Danio rerio: one gene and its partners. The protein of the gene in region 3 interacts with the protein of the main gene of each other region in a biochemical or structural test. Links are inferred from orthologs where the notes say so. Each region holds a gene or a part of one and is shown on either strand. Other genes may lie near its edges. The genes, in order: tlx1, nek2 and ppp1cc.

Evidence for each region.
Region 1: the proteins of ppp1cc (region 3) and tlx1 form a complex in vitro, tested with the Homo sapiens proteins (2 studies listed by BioGRID). The link is inferred for Danio rerio from reciprocal best matches to the Homo sapiens genes PPP1CC and TLX1.
Region 2: the proteins of ppp1cc (region 3) and nek2 interact in far-western blotting, tested with the Homo sapiens proteins (2 studies listed by BioGRID and IntAct). The link is inferred for Danio rerio from reciprocal best matches to the Homo sapiens genes PPP1CC and NEK2.

Annotation. Positions count from the first base shown.
Region 1 is NC_133188.1:31,652,299-31,660,631, forward strand, and holds tlx1 (T-cell leukemia homeobox protein 1), read right to left. Parts: upstream 5,511-8,333; 5' UTR 5,399-5,510; coding exon 4,942-5,398; intron 3,959-4,941; coding exon 3,721-3,958; intron 2,568-3,720; coding exon 2,357-2,567; 3' UTR 1,152-2,356; downstream 1-1,151. UniProt on the Homo sapiens protein: Controls the genesis of the spleen. Binds to the DNA sequence 5'-GGCGGTAAGTGG-3'.
Region 2 is NC_133195.1:15,119,767-15,123,863, forward strand, and holds the start of nek2 (serine/threonine-protein kinase Nek2), read left to right. Parts: upstream 1-1,297; 5' UTR 1,298-1,397; intron 1,398-1,485; 5' UTR 1,486-1,519; coding exon 1,520-1,615; intron 1,616-2,718; coding exon 2,719-2,936; intron 2,937-3,297; coding exon 3,298-3,538; intron 3,539-4,097. UniProt on the Homo sapiens protein: Protein kinase which is involved in the control of centrosome separation and bipolar spindle formation in mitotic cells and chromatin condensation in meiotic cells.
Region 3 is NC_133180.1:2,462,078-2,470,395, reverse strand, and holds the start of ppp1cc (serine/threonine-protein phosphatase PP1-gamma catalytic subunit A), read right to left. Parts: upstream 4,609-8,318; 5' UTR 4,427-4,608; coding exon 4,372-4,426; intron 1-4,371. UniProt on the Homo sapiens protein: Protein phosphatase that associates with over 200 regulatory proteins to form highly specific holoenzymes which dephosphorylate hundreds of biological targets.

The DNA of each region.
Region 1 (8,333 bases), on a different chromosome or scaffold from region 3:
CGTGCATTTAGTTCTTGGCCTAAAATGACTCCTTTTCCACAGCATTCTGGAAAGTTTTAACCGACACTTATGTAACACATTATAAGATTTCGGAAGAGATGATGAAACTTAAACCATCTTCCGATGCAGATTGGATAAGCTTCTGGTTAGTTTCAGAAACACCAACACATCTGCACTTAATAGCACAAACACACTTTTGCACTCTCCAGTGCAAAAGACAGACATTAATCATGCAACCAAAACTGTCATTCATCACAGATATCTGGGATATATCCACCATGACATAACCTGAGGTGTTGCTATAGTTACTCAACAAAAAGCGCTAAACAAATCCAACACTATCAGCACGACATTTTATCATGAAGCTATAATTATATAAATATATAAGTCGCGCCATGTCCAAAGGAAATGAAGGAAAAACAGAAGGCTGCTTAGTCTTTCAATTATAAGAATAAGTCGATCTTTCTATGATAAACTGTTATAAACAATTGTGACTTGAAGGTGAACATGGTGCTGAGCATTGATAATTCTCCTGCTCATTTGTGGATTATCTTGACAAATTACTGCTTTAGATGGTTTCCAACCACATATACAACAAAAGACAAACTATCCAGCAATCATGAATTTACAAATGTGACCATGGACCACATTTTTCCATTTATATGATCTGTTAGGATACGACAATATTTGGCTGAGAGAGCCTATTGAAAACATGCAATTCTAAAACTGGAATTCAAAAATTAAAACCAATCAAAAACATTTAAAAAACTGCACTTAAAGATGTCCAAATAAAGTTCTAGCAATGCATATTACTAATTTAAAAAGGTTTCGATACCTATACTCATATAAGAAATATACAAAATATCTTCATGCAACAATTAATTTTCGGGTCACACTTTACAATAAGGTTTTATATTTACTAACATGAACTATCGTTAAGTAAAACCTTTTTGTAAAGTGTTAGCTAATAGTTGCGGCATTAAAAAATCAACAATTTAACCCATATTTTTGGCTATTCAAAAAATGTTCCTGCATGGATTTGTGGTCCAGGGTCACAGATAATGTTAAAATAAGTAGGCTATTTGACAACGAATAATAATTCTGGGAAGTCCCAACAACATTTCTGCATAACAAGTGCTTTATTTCACGCCCCGTCTTCACCATAGTTGCATAACAAATGAAATTCCATTATGTAGACCCTTGTAGACTACTTTTAAATCGTGTCGATTTTTAAAAATGTTAGCCCACTTAGGTTAACAAACGTGCAAAAATTCGGTCCCTCTGTGATTATAAAAAAAAATAGTAACAAAAGCCAAATTGGTAAGCCTAATAATAATAATAATATTAATTTTGTGATAACAGTTTATAATAACTGTAATATTATCCATTTTCTTTCAGTGTAGGAACAAGTTAAAAATGTGCATATAGGCTATTAAATATTGAACAAATCGACTATTTAGTACTTTGAACTTGGATACATTTACTTTTTAATTCCTTTATATTCAAAGTACACCCAATTAAACGATTTTAATAGCTTAATTTTTCAATTCACATTCTACTGACAGAGGGTATCGCGACTGTAAACTGTCAGAAGTGAAAGAGACCGTCGTAAGACAGTAAAAGAGAAACTTTAGTTTTCGCTCGATTGTGGGTTAAGAAGTGCAACCTTTCACCCTGCGTGTGCCTATTCTTTCAATAAAAAGGATTTTAATAACGACGCTTACCGTATATTTCATAGGCTACATCAGAAAGGTGGCGTTCACTATTCGTTTTAGCTTCACCAAACAAGCAGTAATGCTCCTTTTTCTCCACAAAAAAGTATTAGAACAGAGAGCCTTTTTCTAGTGACGGAGGAAGATGTGTGCTATGGCAATTTTATTTATCCATTTAGGTGTTCTAATTTAACATAGCCCATGCACAATTAGTTCTGTGGCGATTTCTGACCTAATATCAATTAAATTAAATTATTATGCTTTTAGAAAAGCCCCTAATTTAACTAAGGCTCGTACGTTTGTTATCTATATTTCATTTGTAAAATGTTGTGATGTTTAATTTAAGGTATTATAAAGTGTTATCACACGCGTCAGATCTTAGAAGTAGGTATGGTATATACCAAATAAAATGAATGCGCAAGAGACAAACCAAATGCGCAATAACAATTTGTTCGTTGCATTTTAAAATGGAAATGATCAAACCTATAAAAATCAATTTCAAAACTGATTATTCTGCACGAGAAAGGCAATTATTAAAGTTACTTTAAACAAGTTTCATGTTACAAATAAAATAGTAATTTAGTTAAAAGAAGTAATGTGCTGTTGGGATATTCCTCTGTACACCGCGCGTCCACAAGTCTCCATCAGTCAGTGTTGGGAACGCTGCTGATTTTTGCCGTGTTCTCAGTCCAGGGCTGCAGGTTCTGAAGTGCGAATAGAGAGCTGTTGTGTAGACAGATTGGGTCTGGAGTAACAGGCTGGTTTATAGTCTTTTGAAAAGCTTCTTGCTGAAGCTGCATTAGAATTCGGTTGGCTTGTTGTCGCTCGGCTTCTCTCTCCTCCGCTGTCTGCCGCCTGCATGGGTTTAACAAAAGTATTTTAGTCAGTGAATCCAGAAAATCTGTATTCGTTCGTATTCATTTGTAAAATCTGCCAGAAATGTATACAGGTAATCTTATTTACAAAGAATACAATTAGCCTATGTTTACCCCCTCTTTGTATGCATAATATATATATATATATATATATATATATATATATATATATATATATATATATATATATATATATATATATATATATATATATATATATATATATATATATATATTGTTGCTTCAAACGAACACAGTTTTTATTTATAGTGTCCAACGTTCCAAAAAATATACATTTTAAATTTATTATAATTATTATAGCAAGCTTACATAGTTCATATAATAGGCTATATAGCTACTTGATGATGTGGATTTGCTAAAATAATGAACTTCGTTTACATATTTCGTTTCATAAACGTTCATATCACTTTTTTCATTAATTTAAAATTTAGTAAAAAGCTGATATAAAATGATATACGTTGGCATGTTTGTATATATATATATATATATATATATATATATATATATATATATATATATATATATATATATATATATATATATATAATTGTTATTTTTATTTATTTTTTTAAACAGGCCAACGTATATCAATTTATATCAGTACATGTATTTGTGTGTGTGTGTGTGTGTGTGTGTGTGTGTGTGTGTGTGTGTGTGTGTAAATATCCTATAATTTGGAAGTTCTCATAGAAAATATCGCATTTAGTCGAATCATCATAATTTATATTTCACATGTCAATTATTAATTTGTACTAAATATCTCTACTAATTTGCATAAAAATGATCTAATCATAAACCTTTTTTAAATCACTATATTGAACATCAGTTAATTAACCTTCGCAACTAAGACTAAAATTTTTAGGTTATATATTGGTTTCACTATAACCTGGAATATGTTTAATAAAAATAGTACATTTAGCCACTGACATAGCTATTGATTGCATCTATATTGAGTGAACAGACCTTTCAAACCTATGGAATGCATTATGAAACTGACCCAGCTGACCTCACGGTTTATTTAAAAACAAAATACTCTGCTGGGTTTAGTGCTGAGACGAAAAAGAATGCATTACGTGTGAGTGTAAAGCCTTGATTAGATCGCAAAAGCTCACCTCCATTTCGTTCTTCTGTTCTGGAACCATGTTTTGACCTGCGCATCAGTCATTTTAAGTGCTTTCGCTAAGGCTGCTCTCTCGGCTGACGCCAGATACTTCTGACGGTGAAAGCGTTTCTCCAGCTCACATATCTGAAGGCGCGTGAACGACGTCCGGGGCTTCTTCTTCTTCGGAGGTGTTCGGTTCTGGTACGGGTGACCTATACGGCGTGTTACAGTGAACGGTGAGAGGGCCACTGGATTGAGAGACAGAGTGAAAAGCAAGCGGAAGAAATCAGCAAAACGACAAAAGCCAAGCAGTGGAAGGCAAATGCGGCTTTTAGAAAAGAAGGTTGACATTGGTCCTTTTAAAACATGCAACAATCACAAAATATATTAAATTAGTTCAGCCAAGCAAGCAAATAGACATGAGTAGGCTATCTCATTTCAAAATATTTCCTAGTAACGTGTTAAATGTTAAAATAATGAATGAAATAAAATATTTAAATAAATGTTAGACATTAAACACTTCATATTCAGCCTTGAATCAACTAGATCACATAAATGAAAGTTATTTTTGCTGTCAAATCAATGACACATTAAAGTAACAACTGTACAATTTCACTCTGCATCGTGTAGCCTATTTAATTTATAAAAAAAATGTTTATACCGCAAATAGGGCCTATCGTGTAAATTATGTATATGCTTAATTGTAATAAAGTGTGATAAATAAATAAATAAATAAATATATAAACCAAAAAACTGACAACCATGTAAAAATTGCATGCCTTGCCTACTTCTTGCATATTACCTTAGGAAAAAAAATCTCTGTGGATTTAATTTTATTTATTTATTTTTGGCCTTCAGATGCATTGCGATCGAAAAAGAGTCATTTGATTATACTTTTAATTAGCAAGGCAAAAGTTTATAGCATACAGAACTTTGAATTGTTTTTAGAAAGTCCTTAAAACATAACGTTCATTTAAATCATTTTAATCCATGAATCTGCGATGGAAATTCAACTAAATTTAAATATTTGCTGGCCTAATATCTTTAAGCTATTTTATGAGTGGGCAAATTTAAGTTTTTCGACCGCTTTAACCGCTGAGAAGTTGAATCATTGATTGCATGTATTTATACATGACGAAATCTTTTTTTACAATGCAAATTTGGAATTACGCATAATTCTGTGTAAACTAGCGCGGGCAAATATTACAGAACATTTAGATGGTCTCTGTACCTGTAAACCTGTCTTTGGTATATCTCCTGTTACTCTCCATCCACGGAAACGTTAATCCCGTGAGATTGTTAATAGTGCCCATGCTTCCCATACTTGGCACCGTGGCAGCGCTTGTGGGAATGGACGAGTGAACGCTGCCCAGCGGCCGGTGTGCAGGAACCCGGATCACTCCCGACGAATTAAGGCAATTTCCGTTAACATTCGCGCCCAAGTTCATGTTGTAGGACCCGACGCTGCAAGAGTTTCCATTGTATCCAGAGGAGTTATTGACGTTGTAGTTACCAGTCATGGTATTGTATGCTGTGCTGACTATGCAGCCCAAACCGTAGTCCAGGTCCTGCATTCTGGGGTTGGTGATCATGCAGCTCCCCTGGTCTGCATTGTTGAGAATCTGATCGATCCCAAAACTGATGGTGTCTGCGTGCGTCTGGTGGAGATGCGCTCCCATATGATCCATGGTGTGGAGAGGCGCGCGCTCCTGCGATCCCCCACGTCACCCGAGTTATCATACAGCAACTAAAACGCAGTTTAGTCCAGACTTGTCGTTATCTAACTGCATTGACTGCATGTGTGAGAAAGACGGAACTACAGACGATTATCTTTTACTGCCCCCCTTTACCCTTATAGCTATAGCCTGCCGGATGGAGCCACGGGAACATCAATCAAAATGCCAAAGAGGCTGGGTAAAATTAAGCCTCCAATTCTGGGCTGAGAGACCCAATTGGCTAGAGAAACCACGTCGAGTGTGTTCAGTGAAATCCACTGGAATTCCCTCTTCAGCACAGGGCAACTCAAATAGATGGTTTATTAAAGCAAAGCACGGCCGATTACTCAAAACAACACAAAATGTCTGCTTCGGTCAGATTATTATCTTGGCCCCACAGCCTCTCTTGTTGTCTTTGGATACATTTGATTTTTTTTTGTCTTGGTCGTCATTTTCACTCTTGTTAGACGACAAAAAAAAAAAAATCAATATTTCGCGGACATCAACTTTTGGATTAGATTTAAAAGAATTACTGTCATTTGTCAGTGTTTTAGAGAGGGTTAAGTCACACAGAGTTTATTAAAAGACAAATAGTGTCACAATGTTACATTTCATTGTGAAATTAAATCAGTCATTCATAGTCGTCTATAACTGTGTAAAACAGCATTCTTATTATAAGATGGGTTAATGTCAAGGAACTAAATGTTTCAGATTCATCGTTTATTTGAAAAATTGTTAGCCATGACATTAATTTAATTCACATAATTTTGGTTACTGATCCGATGCATTGTGACGACTACTTTTATTAATTATTAATTTTCTTTTGTATCCATTAATCTTACTAAATCAGACAATAACACAACAAAATATATTCGGATAGCAAGCACATTAGGTAATCGATTTCCTTCTAGATGAAAGGGGATGTGATTATTTAACGCATTAAAGTATTAATATTTGATGCGCTTTAGATTAATGCAGGCCAAATGACCGACATCAAAGTTTAATGAGTGCAATGGTGTGTATTTTTGCTAAAATTCTTTGTTGTTTGTTTCAGTAATCTAGACTTAATCATAAATGTTATATACGTGAGCTGCATGGTGCTTAAAATACAAACGATTAGTTTGTTTTATACGTTTTAAAAGAAAAAATATGAAGTCAGTAGATGTTGAAAGTGCTGAAATCATTTGGGACGGTCCGATTATGTTTAATTATAGCCATTATTCACTCACCAAGGTCCACTTGAAAAGTGTCATTTATTGCGCACCCACTTAAGGCTTCACTTTATTCATCTGATGCAAACTGATGTGACTGGAAATATATTGACTTAAATTTCAAAACAAACACGTTTATCAAAATGCATTTAAAGAATAAATGCATAGAAAAGAGTTTCTAAGTGAATTCCTATCACTGTTTTTTTCATGCGCAAATCTGTTTTGAGGTTTTCTCGCGTAAAATGTGTGTGCAAACAATTACGGTTTATCCCTTTGATACAATGACAGATTTTCATAATTATTTAATTTTCTTTCCATGACGCTTAAAATAATTTACAGATTGATGTGCTATATAGGAAAACAGTCTTTAAATGTGTCTTCCCCCATACGTGCACCGTTTTTTCGTTAGAATTGTCTGCGGCGCATCATCATCCTCATCAGTCTATACCTGTGTAATGTTTGACATGTGATCTATCTGCGCTCACTGGCGCCGCTTCCATCATCTGCATCTGTGGAGAGCGCGCAGTCCTGCTGCTGACAGCTTCAAGAGCATCTATTCATGAAGGGCTTTCATCTACACGCCAAACAATCAAGCCATTTCGCTTTACTCAAATTTGCAACTATATAGCATCATTCTAAAAATGATAGATTCTAAGAGCGGCTTAAAAAAATCTATTTTAAATAATACTAGGGTCTATAGGGACCCGCAAGGGGCCACAAGGGAGTGACAGGGGATCCATGGAAATTTACATATATTCAGTATAAAATAATATAGAATTGAATTAATAGAATTAATTAATAAGTCTAAAATAAAATAAAAATTTGTCAGATGAATGCAACAGTGTACTGTTAGTAAAATATAAAAATAAAAAGATTTTAAGTGAATAAATACAGTAATATAAGTTCTATATTTTGTATTATGATTTATTACTTCATTTTTTCAAAGTATAAATTTAGTATATAAACATTAAACAATAAAGGTGGTAAATAGTGACCAGCAAAATATGACAATGGTCATATTTGTGGGTCCATGAAAGATGGAAATCCATGCATTACAGAGACAAATATTAAATTTCAATCATCCTTTAGAATTTGGAAAAAGATTCTTCAGATCATTAAAATGTATTTTTTGTTAAGAAAAAATATTTCTCTAAGGAGCTGCTCACTAAACGGTTATTTCGGAAACTATATCTCTTTTAAATTCATATTTTCTAAAGGGCACTTTACAATAATAAAATTGTGTATATAAATTAGATTAGTTAGTTATAAAAATCAAGAGAAACAAAGAAAATAGTTACAAATTTGTAGTTTGTAAAAATTGTTTAATAACTAATTTGAATTTAAATGTATTATCTTTATATTCCTAAATATATAATTGTTTAATAAAATTGTTTTGTTTAAGTGCACCAAAATATATTAGCAATGGATAAAAATATTTTTTTCTCAAATAGGGTTGTACTTATTTGTGCTGAACACTGTATAATGCAAAAACACACTTTTTTATGATCTTTAATTTTAAGAGTGAAATCGTGATTTTTACACCTAAAAAGAACTTAAGGTAGAGTATATGGGAAATCATTGCTTTATACTTTAATCTATTTGTAAAGCTACTGCTGTAGAAGTACAGTTCTCAGCTCCATGACAAAGGAAACAGGCTTTTATTTTTGGAGGACAGAATGTCAGGTTCACTGTCTTTA
Region 2 (4,097 bases), on a different chromosome or scaffold from region 3:
GGCCCTATTATTCAAGTGAAAATGAATGGTTTTATCTCGGTGTCTGGCAGGCTATTTATCTCGAACTCGTATCCTGTCGTCGGCTGTAAAGGAGAAGTTTGTCAACTTCCATCAGGGCCACGCCCGGAGCCAACCAGCGCCACGAACACAACGCTGCTCCCTAGCGGGCCACCAGTGCACTGTGTAATAGAGCCCTATAAACAAAATCAGTCCTATGTTGCTTAATGTGTAGGCTTTATTTTTATTTTTATTTATTTTTTTTTGGCAAGAAGCAAAATACAATTTACATCAAATTTAATCTATTTTAATGGCAATTATCCATATTGAGTAAACTTCGTATTCCATGAAGACATTTTTGTAACTTTCCAACTATAAATCTTCATAGACAACTTTAAATGGAATTTTTAAATAGTTGTCTCTTGTCTAAATGTATATTACAACAAAAACATAAATATATAAATTATAAATACATATTTCTCATTAATCATGCGTTTGGAAAAATCAGTAGCCAGTTTCTTTTGAAAAAATAAACAAATTGCTTCTTGACTCAAAATCTTTCACCGTTTAAAGCAATGGGTTTAAAGCAGTTCGAAACACCACGGGCTGACGACACCTGCTGGCCACCATATGTATGCAAATAATCATCTTCAGTGTCTGTTGGTTGGATGGTTTGTTTATTTGTTAGTTCTAGATGACTCAGGCTAATATGACATAATCAACACTAAAGATGAATAGGGTAAAACAATAAACAGGTTTTTGTTTGGTTTTGTTACTTTCTATTTGTACATCTAAGAGTGAAATGTTTTTTTTTTTTTTTTTTTTGGAGAGGGGAGTTAGTGGTCTCTCTTTTTATCACTTCATAATTCTAGCTAAATGTATTATTATTAACTGTGATCAGGCAAAACTGTTGTGTGGTTCACCGTTAATGAAGTTGGAAATAGTGATTTTTAATAAAGCTATATGCCTGCTTACGTTACCTAAAGTCAAATCACTAATCAAATAATGATTATAAATAATTACAACTTTGAAATTTGTTCTGACTATTGATGTCAATGGCTGCTCCTTTCCAGCTACTTTATTTTCAAAAGATGAAAGATGTTCATAAAGGTTTGGACAGGACAACTTTAATATACGACGCTGTTCCCGGGCGTTCTCGCGGTTCTTCGGCGCCTGGCAACGTGCACGCTGTGCGTCTGTACGGACCAATGAGATCACTGCCAGCCATCGAGCAGAGCCAATCAGAATCCGGCGTTTGCGCACACGTTTGAAAATCAGCTTATTTTGTCGCGTCTGTTTGTTTCTCAACTCACAAAATACGTACACGCGTTTTAACTAAGGGTAAACAATAAAACACACTGGAAGTAAAACCACAGCGTTCAAGTAGTGAGTGAGTTACGGTAAGTGAACTCATTTCGTTAATCATGTGTTGTGTTATCCTTACAGTTCGCTAATGATAAATAATTGAGGTCTGCTGTATTTGTGAAGTGTGTTTGGATCTGCTGAGTTGCTGTTGAACGCGATGCCATCCAAAACTGAAGACTACGAGGTGCTGCTCACCATAGGATGTGGATCTTATGGAAAATGCCAGAAAATCAAAAGGAAATCCGATGGAAAGGTTGATAACATACCGACTTAACTGAGCTTTGCATAAATAGTATGCTTTTGTATACTTTCTGTAATCGACCTTTAATAAAAACAGCTAATGGTTAAGGTTAAGGTGGTCTTATATTCGCACATTCTGACTTTCTTCTTTAATTAATTTCAGAAAAGTGTTTTTTTGTTGTTGGAAATACTAAATAGGGAAGTCATATTAAGAGCCAATGGCTATCAAAGCACAACATTGTTTTCAGTCAGTAAATAGTGCTGTTGTTGTTTTGAAAGTATACTTAAATGCAATTTAGGTCAGAATATTCAACATGGAATGAATATCAAAATCGGAAGCGTTAAAATGAACGAATATGCGTATTTTAAAACAAATGTTCCTAAATGTTAGGAATCAAAGGCTGAAGCGGTCCCCAAAAAGTTGCATATTGTATCAAGCTGTTTATGCTCAAATTCACGTTAATTTATACCGTTTGTATGTTGGCGTGTCATAATAATCAATATATTGACTTATGAACATATGGACATGACCTCAATAATTTTTTTGTGATTCAATATATATCGCTCATACATAATAAAAACTATTATAGTAACGTTTTAGCTGATTTTGGAGCTCATATTGGATTTGTGAGCATCAGTATGGTTAAAAACACTAGTATTTAGTAGAAATTCCTATTGTATGTTTTCACGTGGGTGTCTGACAGCTGAAAATAGATCTGGTAGCAGATATCACAGCCTCTTTTACTTTTTACCTCACAATTTTTGTTAATATTTATTATTATTCATTTAGTATAGGCATTTTCACACTCTGATTCCAATGCCTAATTATTAAATTGATTAAATTCCAATGCCTAATTATTAAATTGGTTAAATTACTATAATTAAATTAAATATTCATAAGAAAATATGTGTTGTTTGGAAGAGTGTACTTGCATTGTGATGCTATTATATTGTCAATACCACAATATATTTTGGTGCAACATAGAATCAGATATTATGACAGGCCTATTTGTATGTTATGATCTAGTGCAACTAGAAAAGTAATATTGCCAGCTGGTCGTAGCAGATTCTTTGGTGTTTTTCCCAGTGGATTGATCTGAATCATGTCTTATCTAGATTCTGGTCTGGAAGGTTCTGGACTATGGCACTATGGCCGAGGGAGAGAAACAGATGCTGGTGTCAGAAGTCAACTTGCTCCGTGAGCTGAAGCACCCAAATATCGTCCGATACCATGACCGAATTATTGACAGAACGAACACGACATTATATATAGTGATGGAATACTGTGAGGGTGGAGATCTCGCCAGCCTCATCAACAGAAGCATCAAAGACAAGTAACGTTACAATATATGAAAGTTGATCCAAAAATGAACCCTTCCTCATTTTCTCACAGTGGTTTGAAACTTTTAGAAATGTCTTTTTTTCTGTTGAACACAAAGCAAGATATCCTGAAAAATATCAAATAAACCATTGACATTCATTTTTAGGAACAAATTTATTGATATCGGTCGGTGGGTATTTTTTCTTCGGTATCTTCTTTTGGGTTTGACAGAAGAAAGGAACTCAAACACATTTGAAACAAGTAAATATAGACAGAATTTTCATTTTTGTGTGAACAATCTCTTTAAACTTCTGCTGTTTTGTTGTTCAAGCTTCTTCTAAATTACAGATTTTTTTTTTCCCCTTTCTTTGCAGGCGATACCTGGAGGAAGAATTCATCCTGCGTGTGATGGCACAGTTGTCTCTGGCGTTAAAAGAATGCCATGGTAGGAGTAACGGCAGCAGTACAGTTCTGCACCGAGACCTGAAACCAGCAAACATCTTTCTGGATGCCAAACAGAATGTAAAGCTTGGCGATTTCGGTTTAGCTCGCATACTAAACCACGATACAAGCTTTGCTAAAACGTTTGTTGGAACGCCATATTACATGTCGCCAGTAAGTGTTCTTTATCTTGAAGCATTCACCTTTTGTCCATTTATTAATACAATCATTTAAATATGGTAGGGCAGGGGGATGTCAGTATATAAGTGACAGTCTTGTATCCTAATAATCTTTATTTCTTTTACTATGTAGATTGTGTCAAAGCAGCTTAACATAGAAGTTGTATTAAATTGAAACTCTCAGTTCAGTTTTGCTCTTCAGTGTTTGGACTAAGCTGTAAAAATTAAACCACACTGAACTGAACTAATCCATCGATGCTCAGATCCACAAGTCCCAAATTAAGCGAGCCATGATAATCTTATATATCATAGCACTTTTTCTGTAAATTCAGTCAATTAATAGTTTATATTCTGTATATTGAGTTTATCGAAAGCACTATTTCTATTTATTGAGGTAAAGTTGGTTTTTGGGCCATTCCAAACCTCAACATTTATTTTTATAAAAAAAAAAAAAAATGAAAAAAGAGCTCATGAATATTACAATAAATTGTAAGTAAAAGATATTTGAAAAAGTATTGGTTACCAAATTGTTTGTTATACTGCTTGCCTTCTTT
Region 3 (8,318 bases):
TATATAACGAGAGCAGACTGCCAAGGGGACAGCCGTATTAATACTAGTCAAGCAGATATAAGTACACTCCTCACGCCCTGCCTAGTTTCTAGGCTGTATAGCAATAAACATGCAGGTGGTGCAACTGGCTCCATCTAAACTCTGAGAAGGCGGAAAAACAGGGTGAGGTTTCTACGAAACACTGTTAACATTATAAAGCATCACGAGAGGAGGAGCTCACATAAAAATAGATATTAGGCTTAAAGAGCTGATATCAAATAATGGCATAATTAGTCATAAAAGTATGCAAAAAGGGAAATTAAGCAAGACTGAATCTGGTCATTTAAAAAAAATCTTCCAGCTGACACAAAGGTTTAGGTCACAACTCATGACATTAACAAACCGATAACTGGCATTATTAGTTTAATAAACTACTAATTTCTGTTTATTAATAGTTATAAGGTAAAAGAGTTTTTTTGGGGGGTTGGGTAGGATTAGGGATATAGAATAAAAACGTAATTTATAACTAATAATCAACAGTCAATATCTTAATAATAGGCAGGTTATAAGCCAGCAGTTTAGCCTGAATTGAGACAGTCAACACCAAGGTACACCACGGTTTGGAAAAGCCAAGGTTTTAAAATGGTGAAAATTTTCTGCAATACCATCCCTAAGGTATGTTTATGATTTTTATAAACGTTTTTGTGTGTGTGTGTGTGTGTATGTGTGTGTGTGTGTGTGTGTGTGTGTGCGTGCGTGCGTGCGTGCGTGTGTGTTTTTAAGACAACAGTATCTTCAGCAGAAGATGCCGTTTTAAATTGTAAAAAAAAAAAGTTTTTAAAACAAATAAAGACAGCAGAAGTCAATAATTCATTTAGCCTGACACATTTTCTGCTCCTAAATATTTTAAATGTTTCTCAAAGTAAAACCTACTGTGTTCAAAAGGGAAAAAAGTTTTAGGTTTTTTCCCAGACATTTAAAATATATATATTTTAGTACAGTAATCCCAATACCGCAAAACTGTGATACTTTTATACAAGGTTATTATACCGTCAGAATCTTATACCGGCCCATGCCTTTAGTCCAAACACATGCGCTATAGGGGAATTGAATAAATTAAATAGCAAGGGCATCCACTGCGTAAAACATATGCTGGATAGTGGATAAGTTGGTGGTTCATTCCGCTGTGGCGAACCCTGATAAATAAAGAGAGTAAGCCAAAGGAAAATGAATGAAATAATGAATGACTAGTGTGTATAAGTGTTACCATATATTGCTTTCCTTTTTCTTTGCTTTTCATCCTGACATTTTATAGCAAAAAAACTCTTTTTTTATGCAGTCAATGTATTCATTAGTTCTGGCCTTGATGTTGATGCATAAACAATAAATCATGGTTATTATTTCTGTAAACATTTCTGGGGATAATTAAAGGTGTGCATGTTCTGCTCACCATGCTTAAAAGCACATAATTGTGCTGTAAATGTTTGCTATTGGTCTTTAGTAAGGTGCATGTGTCTTATATTTCACCAAAGCAGAAACAATGTTACAAATGTAGATTTTAGGGAAAAATATGGCTTTTACATGTTTGCAGACATTTTTTTAATCGGAGTACTGATTTGGAAGATTAATAAAAAACAAAAGTAATAATTTGGGCTGTTGATTGTAGCCTTTAATTTTAAAGCAAAAAGAAAAAACTATTCAAACAAGCAATAAAAACATACAAACAAACAAGATACATCAGGCATTTTACATTAATATATAAGAAAAATTCAAAAACGTTTTTCGGTCAAATCTTTACTGAATAATTATTTAAAACTTCATTAAAAGTCTTCTACAAACATTAAAAGCAGGACAGTCTAATAAAATATTTAACAGAGGAATCTTAGAAAATATGCAAGGAGTAGGGTGTTCCTAATATACTGGTAATATATTTATTTTAAAATAAATAATTTTAAATTTAGAGCCATATTTGCCCATTTGTGATATCACTGACATTTTAAAAAATAAATTTGCTTAATTGTTTTTTATTCATTATTGCGATGTGAATTAATACAGAGATTTGATTATGAAAGTTTGTAATTTAGGCTTTGGTTGCAACCTTATGTTTGTAAATGTTGTGGCGCTTTGAGCTTAGAAAGGTGCATCATAATTAAACATTATGCATTATTATTACCCAAATATAATTTATAGCATCTCTCCATGACAATGTCAAAATTTTAGCGCAGCCATTATTTCACACTGCATAAAAATAAACCTAAGCAATAAAAAATCTTTAAATAAGCAGTTTTATGTATTTTGTGATTCATGTTTTTACTTTCCCCCATTTATTTACGCTTTTGAATTGGATTATTACTTTCCTCCAACAACTTTTAACCTTGTAAAGTTAAAAAAAGTGACTTATTTACTTTTTTAATAGCTTAAAGTGATATACTGTCTGGTTGGTGTTGTATATTACGCTACAAAAACATTGTAACAAACATTTTCTATTCTTTAACAGACTTATTTCTTTAGATATTATTTTTATACATGATATTATTATTTCAAATGACTAAAATGTGAATAAGTCACTTTGTGCACTTTTGATGTTAAAAATACAACAGAGGAGAGATCAACATAGCATAATGCAATTTGCCACCGCAAATAAACCCAAAACACACAAAATAGAGAAACTGTTCACTAATATATTTTTTACAGTGTAAGAGGACAAAGTAAAAGCACATGCATATCAGTATGTGTATGATGCTGAAATCACTACTGCAGAAAGTACAAGTAAAAATGGGTCAAAGCTGCTGCAGTGCTAAATCTGAAGTCAGACCCGCTTATGAAGGATACATACCTTAATAATACATTTAATGTTAGTCTAAATAATAATATCTGCCAATATGAACTGTGTTGCATATAAAAATTAAACAAGCGAGAAATGTTATGTAAATGCATTTCTTCACTGTATACAATAAAACTATAAAATCTTGCATAATCATTCTGCCTTTATTGCACCTGCTGCTTTTATAATGCATTCCAGAAAGCAATTATATTTTGCAAAGATACAATTCATTGTATAATAAAATATAAATCTATTTGTATAGTGCTTTTCACAATAATTCATTTCAAAGCAGCTTTACAAAAGGTGCACATTTCATTACAGTCAATTCAAAAAAAAGCTAAAATGTTGTAAACATAGTTGGGCTCATACACATTTTTACTACTAAAATTTCATGATTTTGCCAAGACTTTCATGTAAATGTTCATGACCTAATGTTTCATGCAATGTCTACATATGCGTGGTAAAAGAAAAGCAATGCATGTTCAAATTTATTAGAGCATAGCATAAAACATGCAACAATCCATTTACTTTCAATTTATATCCATGCAAAATTAATTTAGATAATGCTTACACCGCACTAATAATATGAGAGTATGTGATTGGCCAAGGACAGAAAATAAGAGAAAAGCCTATATTCAAGTATTTGTCATGACTTTTCTAAAACTGTGTAGGTTTTTCTGTTTTTCCAAAACTTTTCCAGGCCTGGAAAATGCCATGTAAAAATTCCATGACTTTTCCAGGTTTTCCATGACTGTATGAACACTGTATAACCTGCAGTTGTACAGGATGTGATGTCCTTCCCCCCCTAAAAAATATATTTACATGTAATAATAATACATGTTTAAAGTCATAATATAAGCAAATACAGTGTTCATATTCAATCAGAATTAAGAGTTTATCATGTTTTAAAGTTCTCATTTTCAACAGTTTCATATTGTTAGTCATTAAATAAGGTTTTAAGATGTCTAATTAAAGCAAGGATTTTTAATAAACATTTTATAGAGATGACACCCTCAAATTGTATAAATTTGGGTTGAACTCAAAAATATTGTTTTTCCTAGCGCTAGAAATCACACTTTTGACATTTCAAGCCCTGTTGTTAATTTTAATGACTGTGGTACACTAATAAACAGCTGTTTTGATGCTCAAATATGTATTCAATATCATAATATCAGCATTAGTCAGTGTACTAACGTAATGTGTTTACTGAAGCACCGAAACCGCGCGTACAGCTTGGCAGTGTCACAAACACCAGTGAACTGCCCACACAGAGTGTATTTTATAGTCAAAAGTACTGTCCATTCGAAACCAACCAATAATATATAATCTTCAAATATATCAGTATAGTGTCTATGTAGAAAACTCTGTATTTGACACACAGCCGTTTGTGTCAGTGAGCAGAGCTAATGCGCAGCTAACTCTCGCTAGCTCAGCTAACGTAACATCCATAAAAACGACAGAGTTGATAGATCAAGCATATACATATACACACACAACCCTTATGGCAATTATATAGTTACTTATGTTATTAAAAGTACATTTTAGCTGTCACTTGGCTTGAAACTCACCCTCGAGCAGGCGCTGAATGATGCTGTCTATGTTGAGTTTGTCGATGTCAGCCATGACTAGCCGATAAAAACACAAACACCACCGCTTAAAACACACCAGACACGACAGATAAAACGACTTCGATTAAAAACAAACTGGTTAATCACAAAACTCTAAAAGAAAAGATTAAAATGCTCGAGCGGGCCCGTTAGACGCGCGTGCTGCGGCGGTGGCGCACCGGCTCTGCGGAAGGACACGCAATTCGGCTCGGTTTCACCGCTGATGGAAACGGGAGGGCGGATGAACACAAAGGAAAGGAAGAAAAGTAGTGCGGAGGAAAGAGGAGGGCGTGCCGCTGACTTTCACAATAACGTGTGACGTTGAATGTTAATTGCAATGAAAAACTTTTAAAAACACATGTTTAAAACATATCCTACACATTAACATAATTATTTATTTTAACCAACAACGTCTTTTGGCATGCTGTTATTACAGTAGACCTAATACAAATATTATTTCATTTGAAAAAATTGCATTATGCATTTAATTTATGCTGATTCGGGTATACACATGTACTAGTATTACATTATTTGACAGTTCTGTTTATGTTAATTAACCAGATGCCTTGTCAACTGTTATTTATTATAATAACCTAATAAAAAATTATTAATTTTGGCATAAAATCTAGTTTTACAGTATTTGACATGACCTTTTATATTAACTAACCACATTTTTTTGTCAATTGTCATTCATTATAGTAAAAAAAATATTATTTAATTTGTAGTATTTTTGCATTAGAAATTAATTAATGCTGATTTTGGCATTAAAAAAAAACTAGTTTTATAGTATTTGACATTACTTTTCATGTTAACTAACCTCATCCTTTGTCAACTGTCAATACCATTACATATTTTGTCATTTGTGGTAAGGTATTTACTCAGTATGCATTTAATTCATGCTAATTTAGGTATTAAAAATACTACAGCATTGCAATGCAGGCCCGTAGCCAGCCTATTAAAAGGGTTCTCAAAAAGTGGAACTTTTTGCAGCTATTCGGCTCATTTTTATCAAATACATTGACATTTTAAGCACAAATTTTTGGATTAGCTTGTCGGATGGTTATCATTACAATACTTTTTGACGCAACAAATATTTTCCTATATTTTTGTCAAAGTGCTTACCATACTATTAACAAAAAATTGTGTTTATTTACAACTGTGCATTTAAAATTTACACTATTACTTTTTACAAATAATGTAATGAGATTAGAATTTAAATTAAACATTTTGAACTAAGAAATTCGAAAAAATACTTATTTTTTCAAATGCTAATTTATTATTATCCATCATAAAATAAGGAATCTGTTCAAAGTTGTTTTAAATTAAAAAACTTAAGCCTATATTTAGAGAAATTATCAACCTACGTCACAGGGGTTCCTGGTGTCAATAGTAATAGTTGTGCGGTAGGGTGCCAAATCCAACTTTTCAAATGCAGCTTAACATTTACCGTACACCACACTGCTTTAATGCCAACTGCAGACATATTTAGCTATAAGGGAGCTGAATGGAGTGAGGACCTAATTAGAAATGCTGGACTCTGCAGTTCTCATGTTATATCAGGTGAGTTCACGCTATGCTGAATCAGACACGTTACTGGTTTTTGATTGCAGCAAAAACAGTTCAATATGGTTAATTAAACTGCGGACACTGAATGCCTAGAATGAAATGTGTGTTCACATAACCTGCTGTACAGGTGTAGTTTGCTGTGAGAATGCAGTAGTTCTGCTTGTTGATGATTATCCAGGCCTTGTACAGCTCCGTCTTCTTTCCTTGTCTTTGGCTGGGCAGAACCTCAGTTTTCAGCTCTACAGTGTTGAATCTGGTTATCATGGAGTATTATTTCTTGCTCAGAGCAAAACTGTTGGCATCCAAAGATTTGTATGTCTTTAACTTCTCTCTTGTAAAACACTTGGAGTTTTAGTGAGATAGTTGTATATTTTGGGCTGGATGCTTGGCCATCTCGTCTTATCCAATATCCATTAGGAGGGTGCTATCACAGATGAACGCTGCTCACTTTAACCTTAATTTTGCTGAACAACTGTGCTTATCACTGGGTGACGAGCTGTTGTAATACGCTGAAAGCATTATGTCAATAATATGTATAATATGTCATCAATATATCTTATCTCTAACACAACAGCAAACTCTGTTCCGCATCAGATGTTCACCATCTCATCTTTTAGGGGGAAATTAGTTCTTGTTCCAGCATCCTGATCACCTCAGATTAATTGCATAATGTACCTCTGAATAAACCACATTAAAAACACTGACACATCTCTGACAAAACAACATTGTGTATAAATTCATTTTTGCAAAACTCACATTTTAAAAAGCTATTACCATATGTTAATTATATGATAAACAGCATGTGCTTTTCTCAACGAAAAGGAGATATTTTTCATTCCTGCCTCAATGAAACAGAACTGTAGCGTCCTCTGGTGTTTGTTTCCTGTAATGTGCACTTACTTTTCATAGCATCTGAACAGATTGTGGTTAGAAACCCAACACATAGCCTAATACAAACACAACAGAACCTAAATGAATAATAATAATAATAATAATAATAATAATAATAATAATAATAATAATAATAATAATAATAATAATAATAATAGCCTAATAATAATAATAATAATAATAGCCTAATAATAATAATAATAATAATAATAATAATAATAATAATAGCCTAATAATAATAATAATAGCCTAATAATTATAATAATGATAATAATAATAATAATAATAATAGCCGAATAATAATAATAATAATAATAATAGCCTAATAATAATAATAATAATAATAATAATAATAATAGCCTAATAATAATAATAATAATAATAATAGCCTAATAATAATAATAATAGCCTAATAATAATAATAATAATAATAATAATAATAATAATAATAATAATTTTTGACACAGCACCACATAATCTGCATATTTATAACTAATATGTATCAACATCCAGATCTGTCTGACTAACCCCATCTCTGTTTTATGTTTATAGTCTTTCTTTTTTCTATATTTATTTTGTGTTGTCACTCGTCACTTTATGTACACTGGAAGCTTCTATAGCCAAAACAAATTCCTTGTGTGTGAAGCACACTTGGCAATAAAACCAATTCTGATTCTGATTCTGAATAATAATAATAATAATAATAATAATAATAATAATAATAATAACTAGATTATTTAAGTTTGTCGAGACAAACTTTGAGGCTGGCTTGACAAAGCCTGTTGGTAATAGTTTTTTAGTTTAAAACAGTTTGAAAAAAGTATGAGTAGATAGATAAATAGACAGACAGACAGACAGACAGACAGACAGACAGACAGACAGACAGACAGACAGACAGACAGACAGACAGACAGACAGACAGACAGACAGACAGACAGACAGACAGACAGACAGACAGACAGACAGACAGATAGATAGATAGATAGATAGATAGATAGATAGATAGATAGATAGATAGATAGATAGATAGATAGATAGATAGATAGATAAAGGTAAAACAGTTTGAAATAGTATAGATAAATAGTATGAGCTCACAAAGTTTGTTCAATGTTAAGTCAATGACAGTGAAAGAAATATCCATGTAGTCACTCTCCAAATATTCTGTTTTGTAACTGTGTCTTATCTTATTGTAAGTTGTCCCTGTACTAGGCGCCTTGACGTTGCGCCTTGACATTCTTGAGCACTGGATAAAATTGTTCTGCCTAACTGAGCTGAATATTTGCACGTATTCATAACCCATGTAACCCTGAGTATGATGTATAAAAGCTGGGAATACCCCAGTCTTCTTTAGAAGAGAGCAATAAACTGTTGGATTCACATCTCTCAGTTGTTGTTGCCTTCCTGGAGCTCCAGCTTACTGAGGAAACACACAGACGGTCTGCAATTTATCC